Linked DNA regions of Tamandua tetradactyla. The protein of the gene in region 1 interacts with the protein of each later gene in a pairwise test. Links are inferred from orthologs where the notes say so. Each region holds a gene or a part of one and is shown on either strand. Other genes may lie near its edges.

Region 1 (7,539 bases):
CCCCGAGGCCGCGAGTTCCTTAAGGCGAGAGAGCTTGTCTCCTATGAACCCCCTTGGTGCCAGGCGGGGCCTGGGTCCAGCATGAGAGCCTGGGGTAGACGGGCAGGGCTCTGGGGAGCACAGCAAGTGCCGCTCCAGTCAGGGGTCCCCCCGCAGCCTCTGGGGGTCTCTGTACCCCATCAGACCTCCCACCTGGCAACCACACCGTTCCCAGCACAGGATCTCTGGCCTCTGCTGCTAGGCAGGACAGATGTGGGGAGGGCCTGAGGGGTGGCCTCATTATCACCTGACTGCTGCGCCCATCGGAGTGGCTGGGCACCTCCACCAGGTACGAGCATCCATGTACGCAGATCCTGCACACGCCGGACACACGGGCACATGTGCACGTTGGAGCAAGGACATCCCCGTGGGCCCTTCCTCCCAAGCATCTGTCCCCACCTGTTCCCTTTCCTTGACTACTTGACGGGAGGGACGGCCATAATTCTCTCTTAGGTCAGCAACCTCCAGACACCCCCCGACACACACACACACACACACACACACACACACGCATGCCCACACACCCACCAGCACAGGTCCTGACCGGCCTGATCCCCCCACCGCCTGCCCTCCCTTCTCCCCCCAAGGACAGGCAGGCAGACCCCCCCCAGAAGGCCTGAAGACGTCACGGGGTGCCTCACAGGAAAAGAAGCAGACCCACATCTCCAGCCTCCCGCATGCAGGAGAGAGGTGGGGTGTGGGGGGGACTCACCGCTGCTGGCCCAGGGGAGGTACCAGGGGCAGCTGACGTTCACGAAGGAGCCGGGAGGCCCGTCGGGCCAGCACGCGTAGTCATCGAAGGTCCGGTTGCAGAACAGGCCTGGGTGAAGGGGGGCCATCTGTGAGTTTCCGCCGGGCTGGGGCACTCCCCACTGCCACGGCGGAGGCCGCTGGGGGACAAGACAGAAGCCTGCACTGGGCGAACCTCTGCCGAGTGCTTTCCTGCATGCCAAGCACCTTCGCGGCCCAGCAGGAGCCAAACAGGCAGACTCCGCCGCTACCTGGTGGGGCCTCTTGCAGGTTCCTTCATGCCCTTGAATTTTTCTGTTTCCTCATCTGTAAAATGGGCTGCATGGGGCTTTGCGGGGTAAACGTTGCATGTTACTCAGATATCTGAGCATAAGGAGTGCTCGATAAATGATCCTTATGGACCCATTTTTCAATAACACTTCCAAAATGAGGGGGGAACATAAGCGCATGCTAGGAATGCTGAGGAGGACACAAAGCTGGGCATGGGTGGGGGGGGGGGGGGGAAGGGGAGGGAAGAAGATAGCAACTCCCAAAGCTGGCAACAGGGCAAATGGGTAAGAGCCAAAAGACAACAGAAATTCGTTGGGGAAATTTTTCTGTAGGAAGTAAGTCCTTGGGCCGGACCTGTCATTTTTCAGTAGGTTGATGTGGGGCAGGAAGGTATTTCCAGGTGAGGGGACAGGTGGGACAAAGTAATGGAAGCATGGGGGAAGGTTTTCAGAGAGGCATGGCATCCGAGAGAGACAGATGACACCATCCATGAATCTTGGGGGGTTTCAAAGCCTCTCAGGAGTTGGGGGTCCCCACCTGGACTCACCTGTGGCCGGGGGTGGAGCCTCACTCAGGAAGCGCTGGCACTGGCGCCGGTATTCTCTCCATTTCTGCACTGTCTCTGAGAGGGACACAGTGGCACCCTGGGGGAAGGGCAGAAATGGGGCCTTATGTGTCCAGCCTGCCCTTCCCTTATCCACCCCACCCTCACCCCAAATACTTGGTTTCTTTATCTCCAGGGGTCCTCAGAGCCCTAAGTCGACCAGACTTGGGGCATCTCTGAAAGGAAGGAGAGAACCAGTTGCCTCCACAGAAGCTCCAGGCAGATATTTTTACATCTTTGTTCCTCCCAGGGGACCAGAACACAGCTTGATATGTAGTAGGTACCCAGCATGTGTCTACTGAATTGATGGTTTCTGGGGCAGGGGCAAAGAGCGAGGGGAGACTGTCTATTCCTGGTCTCAGCAGACCTCCGCTAGGAGAGAGACTCCCTGAGGGCCCTGGGCTCTGCTATTGCATGAATTCCTTTTCTTCCAGTGCCCAGTCAGCCTGCCTGGGAGGTTGCTGCACTTTTAGCCATTGCAGAGGAGATGCACAGGCCCAGAGTTGGAAAGAACTCAATCAAGGTCACACAGCACTACAGGGAGCTAAGACTCAGAGTTCCCTAGATCGGTGAATATGATAGAATTATGAATTTGGAGGTTGTGGGATGTGGTGGGATCTATGCTACAGAGGCTGGAAAGTCTACCCTTAACACCCCTCCTGCAGAATGCAGTCTTGTCACCTGAGAGGGCATCATGACCTCCAGAGTTCCTGCCTGGCACAGCGGCACAGATCAAATGTTCAGCCTGGCTTCTATTAAGCACAGGGAGGAGCCCTGGGGCCCAGGGGCAGAGGGGTCAGAAAGGTTCCAGAACGCTGAGGGCAGGCCTCAATGGAAGGCGCTCCCCTGCCTGTGGGTAGGGGGATGTGAGCCTCATTTCTCAGATAAGGTAAGAATTGGCTTTTTAGCACCCAAGCCCAAACAAACCCGGCAGAGTAGGAATTGTCCCTTCGGAACATTTTTCTGCATTTGGCAAAGATATGTCTTGGGACTGTAATTCGTCTCTTCTTTTCTTCTGAACAGCCTTAAAGAACATAAATATTTCTCATTTAGAGGCTGCAGGTGCTGAAGTGAACATGGGAGCACTTACAGATATCATTTAGGGCCTGTATGTCATTTAAAACAATCACTTTTTGAAATCACAAAAATTTGCGTGTGTGTGGAAATGAAGATAGCTTCTTTTTAGAAGTTTGTACCCTTGACTTGGGGTGCTCTGGGTAACCCTGCCTGGTGGAAGCTGATTCCTGGTTTCTGAGACACCATCCCTCCTGCCTCCCTCAGCAATACAAAAGGAAAAAGAACACGGGGTGGGATTTCTCCTGTCCTCATCCCTAGCTGCACAGGAAGCTCCAAGAGGAGGCCAAGTTTGTGTCCAGCTGACCTTGGAGCGAGTTTGCCGAGGGCCATGGTAGGGCCTACTCTTCTAGGAAAAGATCAAGTGTATTTGATTCAGGGGAAAATCAAAGGACTCAAGGCAGAGCTATGATTTTAGCCATAGCTGATGGGGCCACACGGTTTTCACAAGAGCCTGTCCCGGTCAATCAACCCTGCCTCCTTCCTTTCCTCCTCTCCTCTCCCCTCTGTGTCCTGGTGAAGGTCTCCTCCTTCTTGCCCCTGAAAGCAGCAGCTGTTGGTGGTGGAGGGCCGAGAGACAGACAGAAATTCCCCTCGATCTCTGTTTCTACTGAGGAAAGCAGGCTGGAAGCAAGGTCACTGCTGGGAACTGGGACAGAAGGTGAGCTGGGGCAGGGGGCGGGGCAAGGAAGTCCAGGGAACCAGACCTCCTATGGCTTGAGAGGGAGGTGGCACCGCGGAGGCCACCCACACTCAGGGAGCATCAAGACCGAGGCAGCCCTGTCACCCTGTTCCTGGCAGAGCTGCGGGCATGAAACCATCCTCATACTGGGGCTCCCCGAGGGCCAGTGTCCTGTCCCTGCACCAGCTCAGAGCCGCCAAATACTGTTTATTGACTCCCCCAGCCTCCGGCCCCTGGCACGAGCTACCCAGACCTCTGGCCTCTCCGCTGACTGGAGGTTTTGGAAGCCTTGACAGTGTCAGGCCCAAGGCAGGGTCACAGGATGGACAAGCCCTGGGGGTGAGGGTCAAATGCTTTCCAAGCCTGGGGGAGTCTGGGGGTTGGGAGTGGAGGGGGGGCAGGAGGATGCAGCGAACGTCCGGAGGTGGGAGCATCGAGGCTCTGGCAAGCAGGACCTAGGTCAGATGCAGGTGAGGGAGGCTGGGGGCTGCCCAGTGCCAGCAGGTCCCAGGGCCTGATCTCAGCTCCCCCATATGCTGTGACCTTGAGCAAGACTTTTAACTTCTTCCAGTCTCAGCCAACACATCTGTGAAATGGGGATAATACTGGTCCCACCCCCACAGGGCTGCTGTGAAGGGTAAGTGAGCTGATGCACAGAACAGCCCCTCGCACATGGAAAATGCTGTCAGTGGCAGCCTTTCTCAAGGTATCTGCTGTTTAAGGCGAGGGCAGAGTGGAACAGGTTGCTCCGGCTTGCTGGGGAGTCTGGACCCCATTCCACCCTCACTTCTAAGACCAAAAAACTCTCAGAAGGAAAAAACTAATTTTTTTTGTGCCCAAGGACCAATCATGCTGCCTCATTTGTGATCTCTTCTAGCAGGGATCCCAGCCACTGGCAAGGTAGAGTGGGAGGGCCCTGGCCGTAGGCAAGACGGTGAAGAGAGAAGACCCTATCCACCAGTTATGGCCCCCTTTCATCCTCCCTTGAGGTGGGGTTGGGGGTACTGGGTGATGGGGAGGCATGATGGTGGAGGCCCCCTGTCCCTCCCAGGACAGCAGAGCTGGCCCAGAGAACAGAGCAGGGACGGGGTGGGGACCTGTGGGGCCAGGGCCGAAGCAGATTGGAAGATTTTAGAATCAGGACTTGCCAGCTTCATGGGATTTCTCAGAGTTAGATGAAGGCAACCGGGGACTTGGACTGGAGGGAGCGTCTCTCAGGCTCAGGAGCTTTAAGAGAAGGCAACAGGGGAGAGAGAAGAAGCCAAGAGGGAGTGGAGCAGTGTATGCGTATACAGCACTGGACAGAGAGGCACATGTCCTTCATTCAAATCCCTGCTCTGCCCGTTAATGTGACCTATGGGGCACACTTTGTATTTTGGGGCCTCAGTTTCCCCATCTGCAAAATGGGCATGTCATTATTTTCAGAGCATTACTGCATGCACCCAAAAAGATAAAGTAAGTGAAAATCTCCAGGATTAGCAGTTTCTGCACAAGTGGGCAGTGAAGAGGAGAAGGGGAAGGATGCCAGAGTGGAAGCTTTACAACACTCTCCTAACACTGGCTGCTAACCTGAAAAATTCCTCCTACAGTTTTACTTTTCTGAGAGCTGTTCTGGTTGAGGGGAAGGAGGAAAGAAACTTCTACCTCTCTAGGCCACCGAGGTAGGCGAAATGGAAGGGAGCAAGACAGTTCCAAAGACAAACTCTTGGGACCTCCCACTTTGGCTGAGCCCTGCAGGCTTCCCAGCATCTCCTCCCAGGGCCCCTAGCCTGCTTCCTCTCTGCCCACCTCACAGAGCCCAAACAGGCCTTCCAGCAGGGTCTGCGCCCTGCACCCCAGGGGGTGGGGCTGCCAGGTCCCGGCCTCTTCCATCCCATTTAAAAAAAATGGTTTTAGATATCTGAGCAGAGGTCAGGAAAAGGAAAATGGCACACACACTCTCACATGCAGACAAGCTCTCACACAGATACACTGCCACACACACTGGTGCACATGCCGCCAAGCACACTCTTAGAAACTAAGATGCTGACACAACTTGTCTCTCTCACCCACACGGACACACACAGACTGCCAGACACATGCTCAGAGGCTGCCCCCCCCCACCTCTTGACTGACACACTCAGCCCACACTGTCCCACACATGCATACAAACAGCCACATGGACACCATGTCACAAGCATATTCCCTCGCACACAAGGACACATACTGTCAGACACCCATTCACACACCGAGACAACTCACACACACGCTGACACACAGAGAGCCTCCAGTAGACACCGCATCACACACAGGGTCACACATACATCAGGCTCCCAGTCACATGCTGGGACGGTTCCCACGCAGTAACCCCACCCCACCCCAGGCAGACTAGCCCACACAGGGTCACGTACAGAGACACAGGGACTCAGGGTCTCATAGGGCCACACCTCCCTGTGCCCCCACCCTCTCTTCCTATCTACCTGTCTCTTTCTCTGCATCTCTGGCTCTCTCTCCCCCCTCACATGTACACGTACACACCGAGGCAGGGGTCTGCCTGGGGCAGGCTGCAACTAAGGAAGGGCCTGGTGTTCCTCAGTGCAAGGCCTTCGAGGGCAGGATGTGGTTTCTTGGTGGCTCCGGCCCTGGCCCCCACCCTGGGTCCATGTCCGGGAGGGAGCCCTGCTCAGGACAAAGTCCACCCTGACGGCTGCATGGCGCTGGGCTCCATCTGCTATGCTGACCCGCTGCAGAGCACGGCAGCCCCACGCCGGCTCCCACCCAGAATGCTTCCAGATTCCTGAGGACAAACAGGTCAGTTCCCCGAGTGACTAAAGCTGCTATTTCAGGGAGTCAGTGTCTCAGTCCTGTCTATAACTCCATGTGGTAGAGCATATGATCCCTACTTACAGGTGAGGACACCGAGGGTTGGGATGGTGAAATGTCCTACCCAAGATCACCAGCTAATAGCAGACCGGGTCTCTGAACCCAGTTCTGTCTGGTCCTAACTTTGGATGTCAGAAGTTTGCCTATCTCCTTAAGAGACCAGCTCCCTCACAGGGGTCTTGAGGGCTTAAGGGACAGAAAAGAGGATAGCGCTTCTCACCAACAATGAAGGGGTGATGTAGGCCACGCTCCTCAGAGGTCAATTGGGCCATCTCCCTGCCTCCGAGGAAGCTGCTTCCAGCCTCTCCAGACCTGACAGCAAGCAGCTCACTTGAAGCATTCCTCTTTCAGTCCCACCTGAGCAAGAGGTATTATGCCAAGAGGCCAGCCCCACATCCCTTTCTCCTCTCTGCTCCCAAATTGCTTCTTCTGAGCTTTCCGTCCTCTCAGCAACATGCAAGAAGTACACCTCATGGACAGAGAATGAAAAGCAAAACACCCTGACAATTTTAAGCCTTATACATAAGCCTGAGGTTCTGTCATAATCACTGCAGTCTAACCTCAAATCCACCTGCCACTCAGATCTCTGGGATGGCCATGGATGCCCAGTGCTCCACAAATTAGCAGCCCCCAACGTTCCCCTGCTCGGACACCGTCTCCTCCTGCCCTTTCCTGCAGCCTCAGCCCTGCTATGGCCCTAGGACACTCAGTTTTTGCCCTAGACTAGGGCTGAAGAACGGGGGGGGATCAGAGTCAGGACTCTGACTCTCTGGGAAAAGGGATTTGGGGAGGAAGACAGGCTGCCCAGAGAACCCTTTCCTCTTTTCTTAATCCAAACCGAATCTCCAAACGTGTCTCCAGTCCAGGACCCAAGCACACCAGCTCCAGACAGAAGCCAAGGCCTGCCCGGAGGGTGGGAGGAAGGTGCGAGGGGAGGGAGAGCGTCTCTCCCGGATCTAGGGGCAGTGGCTAGGCTGGGAGACAGAGATAGGGAGGGAATGAGTCTGGAAAAGAATCTGGGGGCTGAAAATGTGTTGGCACCTTAGCTGAGAGGCACATCTATCCACATCTGTATTGTCAACCACGGGTGGTGGGCCCCAGTCAGAACCAAACCAATGGTCCCTTATCTTGCCTCCTACCTAATCTGGGACAAATTTCAAGGCCTCTATAGGCCCACTTGCCAAAGATCTAAATTCTTCAGGTCTGGGGGGTGGGAGGGTGGGAATGATGGAAGAGACATTTCCCTACACAGGACAGG
Region 2 (7,127 bases), about 92 Mb from region 1:
CTGTGATGTGGAGTTGTGAAACAAACTGGCCCAGAACTTAGGAAATTAAAAATAACAACCATTTTGTTTGCTGACAGTTCTGCAGTTCCGTGTGATTATGGAGATAGGCACTAGTGTACAGGCTCCAGTGTGGCCAAAGCTTCCAGATTTTTTCGAGAGCAGCAGGGCATTCCAAATTTTAAGTTAGCTCTTTTTCTCTCTTTTTTTTTTTTTTTGGTAAGAGTTTTATTGCGATTTAATTCATATACCATACAGCTCACCCACATAAAATTCTACAAAGCAATAGTTTTTAGTATATTTACAGAGTTGTGCCATCATCACCACAATCAATATTTTTTTAAGTTTATATCAACTTGATATATTTTTCCCATTAGGCTAGAAAATGTAAAGCTTCTTAATACTTCCTCTTGTTAAATTAAGTGAACACAAGTTCTTTCATACCCTCTCCTAAAGAGTATGTTTTCTTAATGCTATTTTTTTAATTGTGAAATATATATATAAAAAAGCAATAAATTTCCCAGCACATTTTCACAAGTAATCATAGGACAGATTTTAAAGTTTGGTATGGGTTAAAGGTCCATGATTTTTCTTTGTTCTTCTAGCTGCTCCAAGACACTGGAGACCAACAGAAATATCAGTATAATGATCAGCAGTCATACTCATTTGTTAAATCCTATCTATCTTTGTTATTCTCCTCCTCTTTATTTTAAATAACTTATATACATAAAAGCAATAAATTTTCAAAGTGTATCACAAAATAATTAGTTGTAGAACAGATTTCAGAGTTTGGTATGGGTTTACAATTCCGTAATTTTAGGCTTTTATTTCTAGCTGCTCAAAGGTACTGGAGGCTAAAAGAAGTGTCAGTATAATGATTCAGCACTCATACTCGTTTGTTAAACCCGACCTTCTCTGTATAACTCCGTCACCTTTGATCTTTCATTCCATGTGGAGAGAAAGTGGTATTTGGACTATACCCATTCTAACTTTTTCATGTTGGAAAGGGTTGACCGCAATCAATTTTAGAACATTTGCATTGTACCAAAAATGGAAGCAGTGACCTTCCTTCCCTCCACTCCCCCAACCCCAATTGTGAATCTGCTTATCTGTCCCTACAGATTTGCCTATTCTGGACATTTCATATAAATGGAACCATATAATATGGGGTCTTGCCTCACTTTCTTAAAGTACTACAACCAAAGTAAAATATTTCTGCATGCTGGACTTTTTCTTTTTTTTTGCAATCTCAAGATATCAGAATCTGCCACATACAGCCTTTTTGAGACCAAGTGCTGCCAGTATTCCTGGTACACATTCTGAACTCCTTGCTTTTTTGGGGGGTCGTGGGGGTGGGGGTGCCTGGTCCAGGAATCAAACCCGGGTCTCCCACATGGAAGGCAAGCATTCTACCACGGAACCACCCATGCACCCTCCTGCTTATTTTTTCACTGAGCATTATTCATACTTTACAAGTGAAATGATCAAATTGGGCTCGTTTGTGAACCAAAATGGCCCATCCGTATTGGGCAGTGTTTTGACATGAAGTCATCGCAGATGATCCAAATCTAATGGCTTTGCTTTCGTTCCATGTTTAGTGTTAATTTTATTCTGGCCTTTGCTGGAGTGAGTCAGTTCTGTTAGTCTAAGAACATAAAGTCAAAGGTTCGGTCTCATCTACCAGCTGCAGTGTGGAAGCAGTTAATTCATTACAACCCATTTATTGAAGTCTGAGTCCTGTCTCTTCCTAGATATGTGTCCCTGGTCAGAATATTGAGGAGTGTGCGTTGTCATTGGTGAAACCAGGATACTAATAAATGCCCTAAAACATCACAGGGAATCTCCAAATAATAATAATAATAATAAACAATAAAAGAGAAGGGTGAACGTAAGATGTTCTTCTTAGAACACTTTTCAACAGATGTTCATTCATTCATTTAGTTAATTCCACAGATATATACTATTTGCACCTTCTGTGCTAGATTTTGAGGGTATAGTGGTGGCAAACAAAACAATTTCCAAACACTGCTAGGTTTCATACTTGTTGGGGAAGACCAAGGTTAAGCAAATAGTTTCACAAAATAATTATAAATTATAATGAGTGGTGTGAAAAAAGTATAGGGAGCATTAAAGACGTGTGAAAGGGGAAATCTGCTCTAGTCTGGGAGGATCTGGGAAGTGGCGCTTAGCTGAGAACTGAAAAAATCATTAGCATTGAAGGATGGGGTGGGGGAGATCCCTGTTCTGGCATTCAATTATTCTCACATTAATTTTTTATTAAAACTATTGCCTGCTGTGTGCTGGCACTGTGGAAGGCATTAATCCATATGTCAGGCACTTAAAATAATACAAAAACTAGATAATAATGCTATTTCAAGCCTTATTGGCAGGATTACTTATCCAGATTACCAGTGGGGAAGCCCAGTTCTTTAGGTAATGGCTTCATCAGGGTCTTAGCAGGAGGTGAGGATGGAGAAAATAAAAGGGAAATGATGTTGTTCTCTCAGACTCCTTAAATCATTGCAGCTGCAGATGCCAATTTCTGAAGTCATGCTGGGGGTCATTTTGGGGTGACACTTTTTTTAAAAAAACTTTTTTTTATTCTATAGTATAACATATTTACATACCAAAGACAGAAAAAAGCAGTAATTTTGAGAGCACTCTTCAACAAGTGGTTACAAGACAGATCTCAATACCATCCGCTCAGATTTTTCCTTCTAGCTGCTCCAGAATATAGGAAGCTAGAAGGAATAAGTATTTTTTTTATCACAATTGCCTTTTTTTGATAGATAACATATATACAAAAAAGCAATACATTTCAAAGCACAGCAGCACAATTAATTGTAGAACATATTTTAGACTTTGACATGGGTGACAGTTTCACAATTTTAGGTTTTTACTTCTAGCTGAACTAAAATACTGGAGACTAAAGGAGATATCAATTTAATGATTCAGCATTCTTATTCATTTGTTAAATCCTATCTTCTCTGTGTAACTCCACCATCACCTGTGATCTTTCCATACCTCTCTTTGGGGTAGTTTGGGTTATGACCATTCAGAATTTTTCATGTTGGAAGGGGCTGTGGATAACATGGGGTAGGGAGATGGAAATAGCTGATGTTCTGGAGAGGCTGGTTCTCTAGGTTTCAGGACTTATCTGGTCCAGAGATCCATCTGGAGATTGTAAGTTTCTGTAATGTTATTGGGTGACACTCTTAAACTACATTTTTCCACATGCCAGCTACAGTCCGAGACTCCGGGAATATGGTGAAGAACCCACCTCCGTGTTCTTTACACTCCTGGGGAACACATACCTGCCAGCGGAGAGCCTGAACGACGGAATAAAGAGAAAAAATGCAATGGGTGTTATGGAATAAATAAAATTGGGTAATGCGAGGGAATAAAGTGGCAGTGTTTGAGCTGAGCGCCAGCCAGCGAGATGACGGGTGGTTTGGGGACAGTGTCTCCGCGATGGCCTGAAAAGCCTGGACCTTGGGGTCAGGGTCCTCGCCGGGCGAGTCTGCTCCCCGGGGGGCATCTGGCAGCGTCCCGGGACATTTCTGGTGGCCGCAACTGGGATCGGGGTGGAGCATCTTGTAGGAGGGAGGCCGGGGGTGCTTCGAACGCACTGGCCAGTGCCCTGCAACACACACGGACCAGACCCCAAACGTCAACAGTGCGGAGCTTGAGAAAATCCCTCCCAGGACGGCAAAAAGCCACCGAGGCTGGGTCAGCGGAAATTCGGGCGCTGTGCAGGCAGAGCCCCGAGGCCCTTGTACGGAGCTTGCTTTAGCTGCCCGTGGTGTCCACTGAGGACTTGAAGCGTCTGCGTGCCAGACTCGACGATCATCCCAAAACGCCGCCAGCGCCCTCGCGCCTTCAGCGCATCCAGACCGCGGAAGTAGAGCCGTGGATTTGTCGGTTTCCGGGGCGGGACTGAAAGTGTTCCGCTGGTGCGTGATGGCGACCAGACCCAATGGCGAATCGAGGCGGCCCGTTGCGGGGCGGGATATGGTGGGGACCCGGGCGGAACCGGAAGCCGCTCGGCGGGCTGAGAGACGGCGAGCGCGCCCAACGGCGACGCCGAGAGGCGGGCCACGGCGGCTGGCTGGGGAAGCCGGCGCGTGGGGCGGCAGCGGCGGCCGGACCATGGAGGACGTTGAGGGCTCTGGCGGCGAGCGGACTCCGCTGCTGGGCGCGGGCGGGCGCGGGGCGCGGCGGGCGGCCTCGGCATTTGCGGGCCGGCGCGCGGCTTGCGCTGCCGTGCTGCTGACGGAGCTGCTGGAGCGCGCCGCCTTCTACGGCGTCACGGCTGACCTGGTCCTGTTCCTGAACGGGGCGCCGCTGGGCTGGGAGGGCGCGCAGGCCAGCCAGGCCCTGCTGCTCTTCATGGGCGTCAGCTACCTCGTGTCGCCCTTCGGCGGCTGGCTGGCCGACGCGCTGCTCGGCAAGGCGCGCGCCATCCTGCTCAGCCTGGCGCTCTACCTGCTCGGCATGCTCGCCTTCCCGGGGCTGGCCACTCCCGCTGCGCGCACCGCCCTCTGCGGGCCCCTGCGCCCCGCGCTCCTGCTCAACTGCTCGGCGCCCGCCGGCACCCGCGCGGCCTGCCCGCCCGCCGCGCGCTATTGCGCGCCAACCACCTTCGCGGCGCTCGTGCTCGTGGGCCTCAGCGTGGGCACGGTAAAGGCCAACATCACGCCCTTCGGCGCCGACCAGGTGAGCGGCCCGCCGCGCGCGCCCCCGGCCCGCCACGCCCCCTGCCCTCCTGGTCCGCCACGCGCGCCCCCGGTCCGCTACGCCCCCTGTCCCCCGGTCCGCCGCGCGCGCCCCCAGCCCGCCACGCCCCCTGCCCCCCTGGTCCGCCACGCGCGACCCCACCCCGCCACGCCCCCTGCCCCCCTGGTCCGCCACGCGCGCCCCCGGCCCGCCATGTCCCCTGCCCACCCGGTCCCCTCCCCGAGCGACGCTCGTCCGCTGAATCCTCCGGGCCGGCGCCGCACCAGGCCCCCTGCTCACCAGGGGGCCGCAGTCTTGGCGGGAGAAAGCTCACGAAAGCGTGCGTGCAAGAATACTAGGAGGACGGGCTGTGGTCGAGCGGGGCAGGAGTCAACTCAGGGAGGGCTGGAGGATAGATGGGAGGGGGTTTCACTAGCCGGAAGGTCTCTCTGTGCAGGCGCCGTTGTTGGAAGAGCTCCCGGCACAGGGGGGTCCCTAAGTGCAAAACCCTGAGCCGGTGAGCAGAAAGGACTCCCCAGATATTGCCAGACATGAGCTGAGAAGAAGTGGGAAGAGAGAGGAGTGGTAGGCAGGGCTGGTGGCATAAGGCCTGGTTAAGAATTTGAGTATCTCATCTATTTCCTGTTTTTGTAGAACCCTGGAACAAGAATGGTTCTTATGTTTTTAAATGGTTGAAAAAGTCAAAAGACTATTTTGTGACGTGAAAATTATCTAAAATTCAGATTTCATTGTGTGTAAATGAAGTGTATTGGTACACAGTCCCACTCACTCCTGTCCACTATTGTCAACACTTTGGCTGCTCCCACGATACAGTGTTATCATTGACTACTTGTGAAGGAGACCACATCTTGCAAAATCGAAAATATTCACTTCTATCCCTTTACAAAAATGTTGGCTGGCATCTGGCAAAGAGAATAGGATTAAGGGAAGTGAAGAGAGCAGGGCTGCTGCAGAATGGAGGCCGTGCGGGGATGAGGGTGAGAAGTGGAGGTGGAGGGGCTGAGCTTGCTGGTGGGTTGAGTGTGAGCAATAGAAAAAAAAGCTCCCAGGTTTTTGCACTAAATAACTGTGTGATTGCCTGGCTCTGGCTGGCGTTCTAAGGCGTACTGTGTGCCAGGCCCTACTCAGGGCTTTATCATGCTGCCCGAGTTCTGAGGGTGTGCCCATTTACAGACCTGGAGACTGAGGCTGCAGGGGCTAAATAATTTGCCCAAAGCTGCCTGTTGGTAAGTGCCTGAGCTGGTGTTCAAAGGCCTGTCCTTTGAATCTGAGCTCTCCTCAGCCCGTGTATTTCCAGGGCAGACAGCAGGGAGAGACCTTCAAAGGGCATTCAGGTAATCCTTGCCTGACTATTGAATGTCCCCCTTGTTGTTTGCATGGGCTTTCCGTGCTTGATCTCATCTGACCTCAGTGGAATCTTCTCTCTGTTATATAGAAAAGGAAAAAGGCACAGGATATGAGAGAACTTTCTTGTCCTGTAGGTAGTGAGTGGTCAAGCTAGGGTTTCATTGGCCACTTCTGATATGTTAGTCTGTGGGGTAACCACTGCAACTGGAGGGGCAGATCTGTGGGCTCTGCAGACTCAGTTTGTGGCCCTGGCCCCAGGATGCCCTGTCTCCGGCTCCACTGGCAAGGGTGCAGCGCTGAGCGCTGCCAGTCTTCATCTTTTGACAGCGGAGCCGTGCCCCTGTCGTGTGCAGGAGGGGCTGTCTTAGGCCGCTCAGTGAGCCGAGTGTCCTCCCACAGTGTCTTATTTAAACCTCACAACACTTCGAACGCAGAAACTCTAGTTCCCCCTGTTACTGGAAGCGGAGGCTTCTAGAATTTGACTGCCCGGGGCCACGCAGTGGGGAGTGGGGAGTGGGTGTTGAACCAGGCCATCTGCCTTCAGGGTCAGTGCTGCTCCTAGAGGTGGGAGGTGAGAGGCCAGTGGTGACTTCTTCAGAGAAGGTAGAGGTGCTGGAGAGTGACTGCCAGCATCTGCATCCATTTGATGTGAAGTTTAATGTGTGTATTCACAATTGTCACAGCCTTACCAGGAAAAATGGACTACTCTGGATTAAAGATTCTAACGATTCTTGATGACCAAATGTGATATGTGGTCCATGACTTGCTCCCAGATTGACACAACAATTAAAGCCATATAAGACACTCTTGGGGGACGATTGGCATATTTTTAGCCTAGACCACAAAGGAGACAGTGGTGTATTTACGTTCAGCTCCACAGAGTGCTGATGGTGTTGGGATTGTGTGGAAGGAGGCCCTTATTTTTAGTAGAGACATGATGGAGTCTTTTAGAGTGAAATGTGATGAAGCTGCAATTTATTTTTTAAATGACTCAGTTGTAGAAAGCATTTTACATACACAGAAAAAGAGAGCTAAAGATCTAAGCA

What was found. The genes of interacting proteins can lie anywhere in the genome.
Region 2: the proteins of GLP1R (region 1) and SLC15A4 interact in a protein complementation assay, tested with the Homo sapiens proteins (2 studies listed by BioGRID). The link is inferred for Tamandua tetradactyla from reciprocal best matches to the Homo sapiens genes GLP1R and SLC15A4.

What each region holds. Positions count from the first base shown.
Region 1 is NC_135331.1:96,428,887-96,436,425, reverse strand, and holds the start of GLP1R (glucagon-like peptide 1 receptor), read right to left. Parts: upstream 3,071-7,539; coding exon 3,045-3,070; intron 1,747-3,044; coding exon 1,607-1,746; intron 860-1,606; coding exon 752-859; intron 1-751.
Region 2 is NC_135331.1:4,090,690-4,097,816, forward strand, and holds the start of SLC15A4 (solute carrier family 15 member 4), read left to right. Parts: upstream 1-4,070; 5' UTR 4,071-4,146; coding exon 4,147-4,713; intron 4,714-7,127. UniProt on the Homo sapiens protein: Proton-coupled amino-acid transporter that mediates the transmembrane transport of L-histidine and some di- and tripeptides from inside the lysosome to the cytosol, and plays a key role in innate immune response.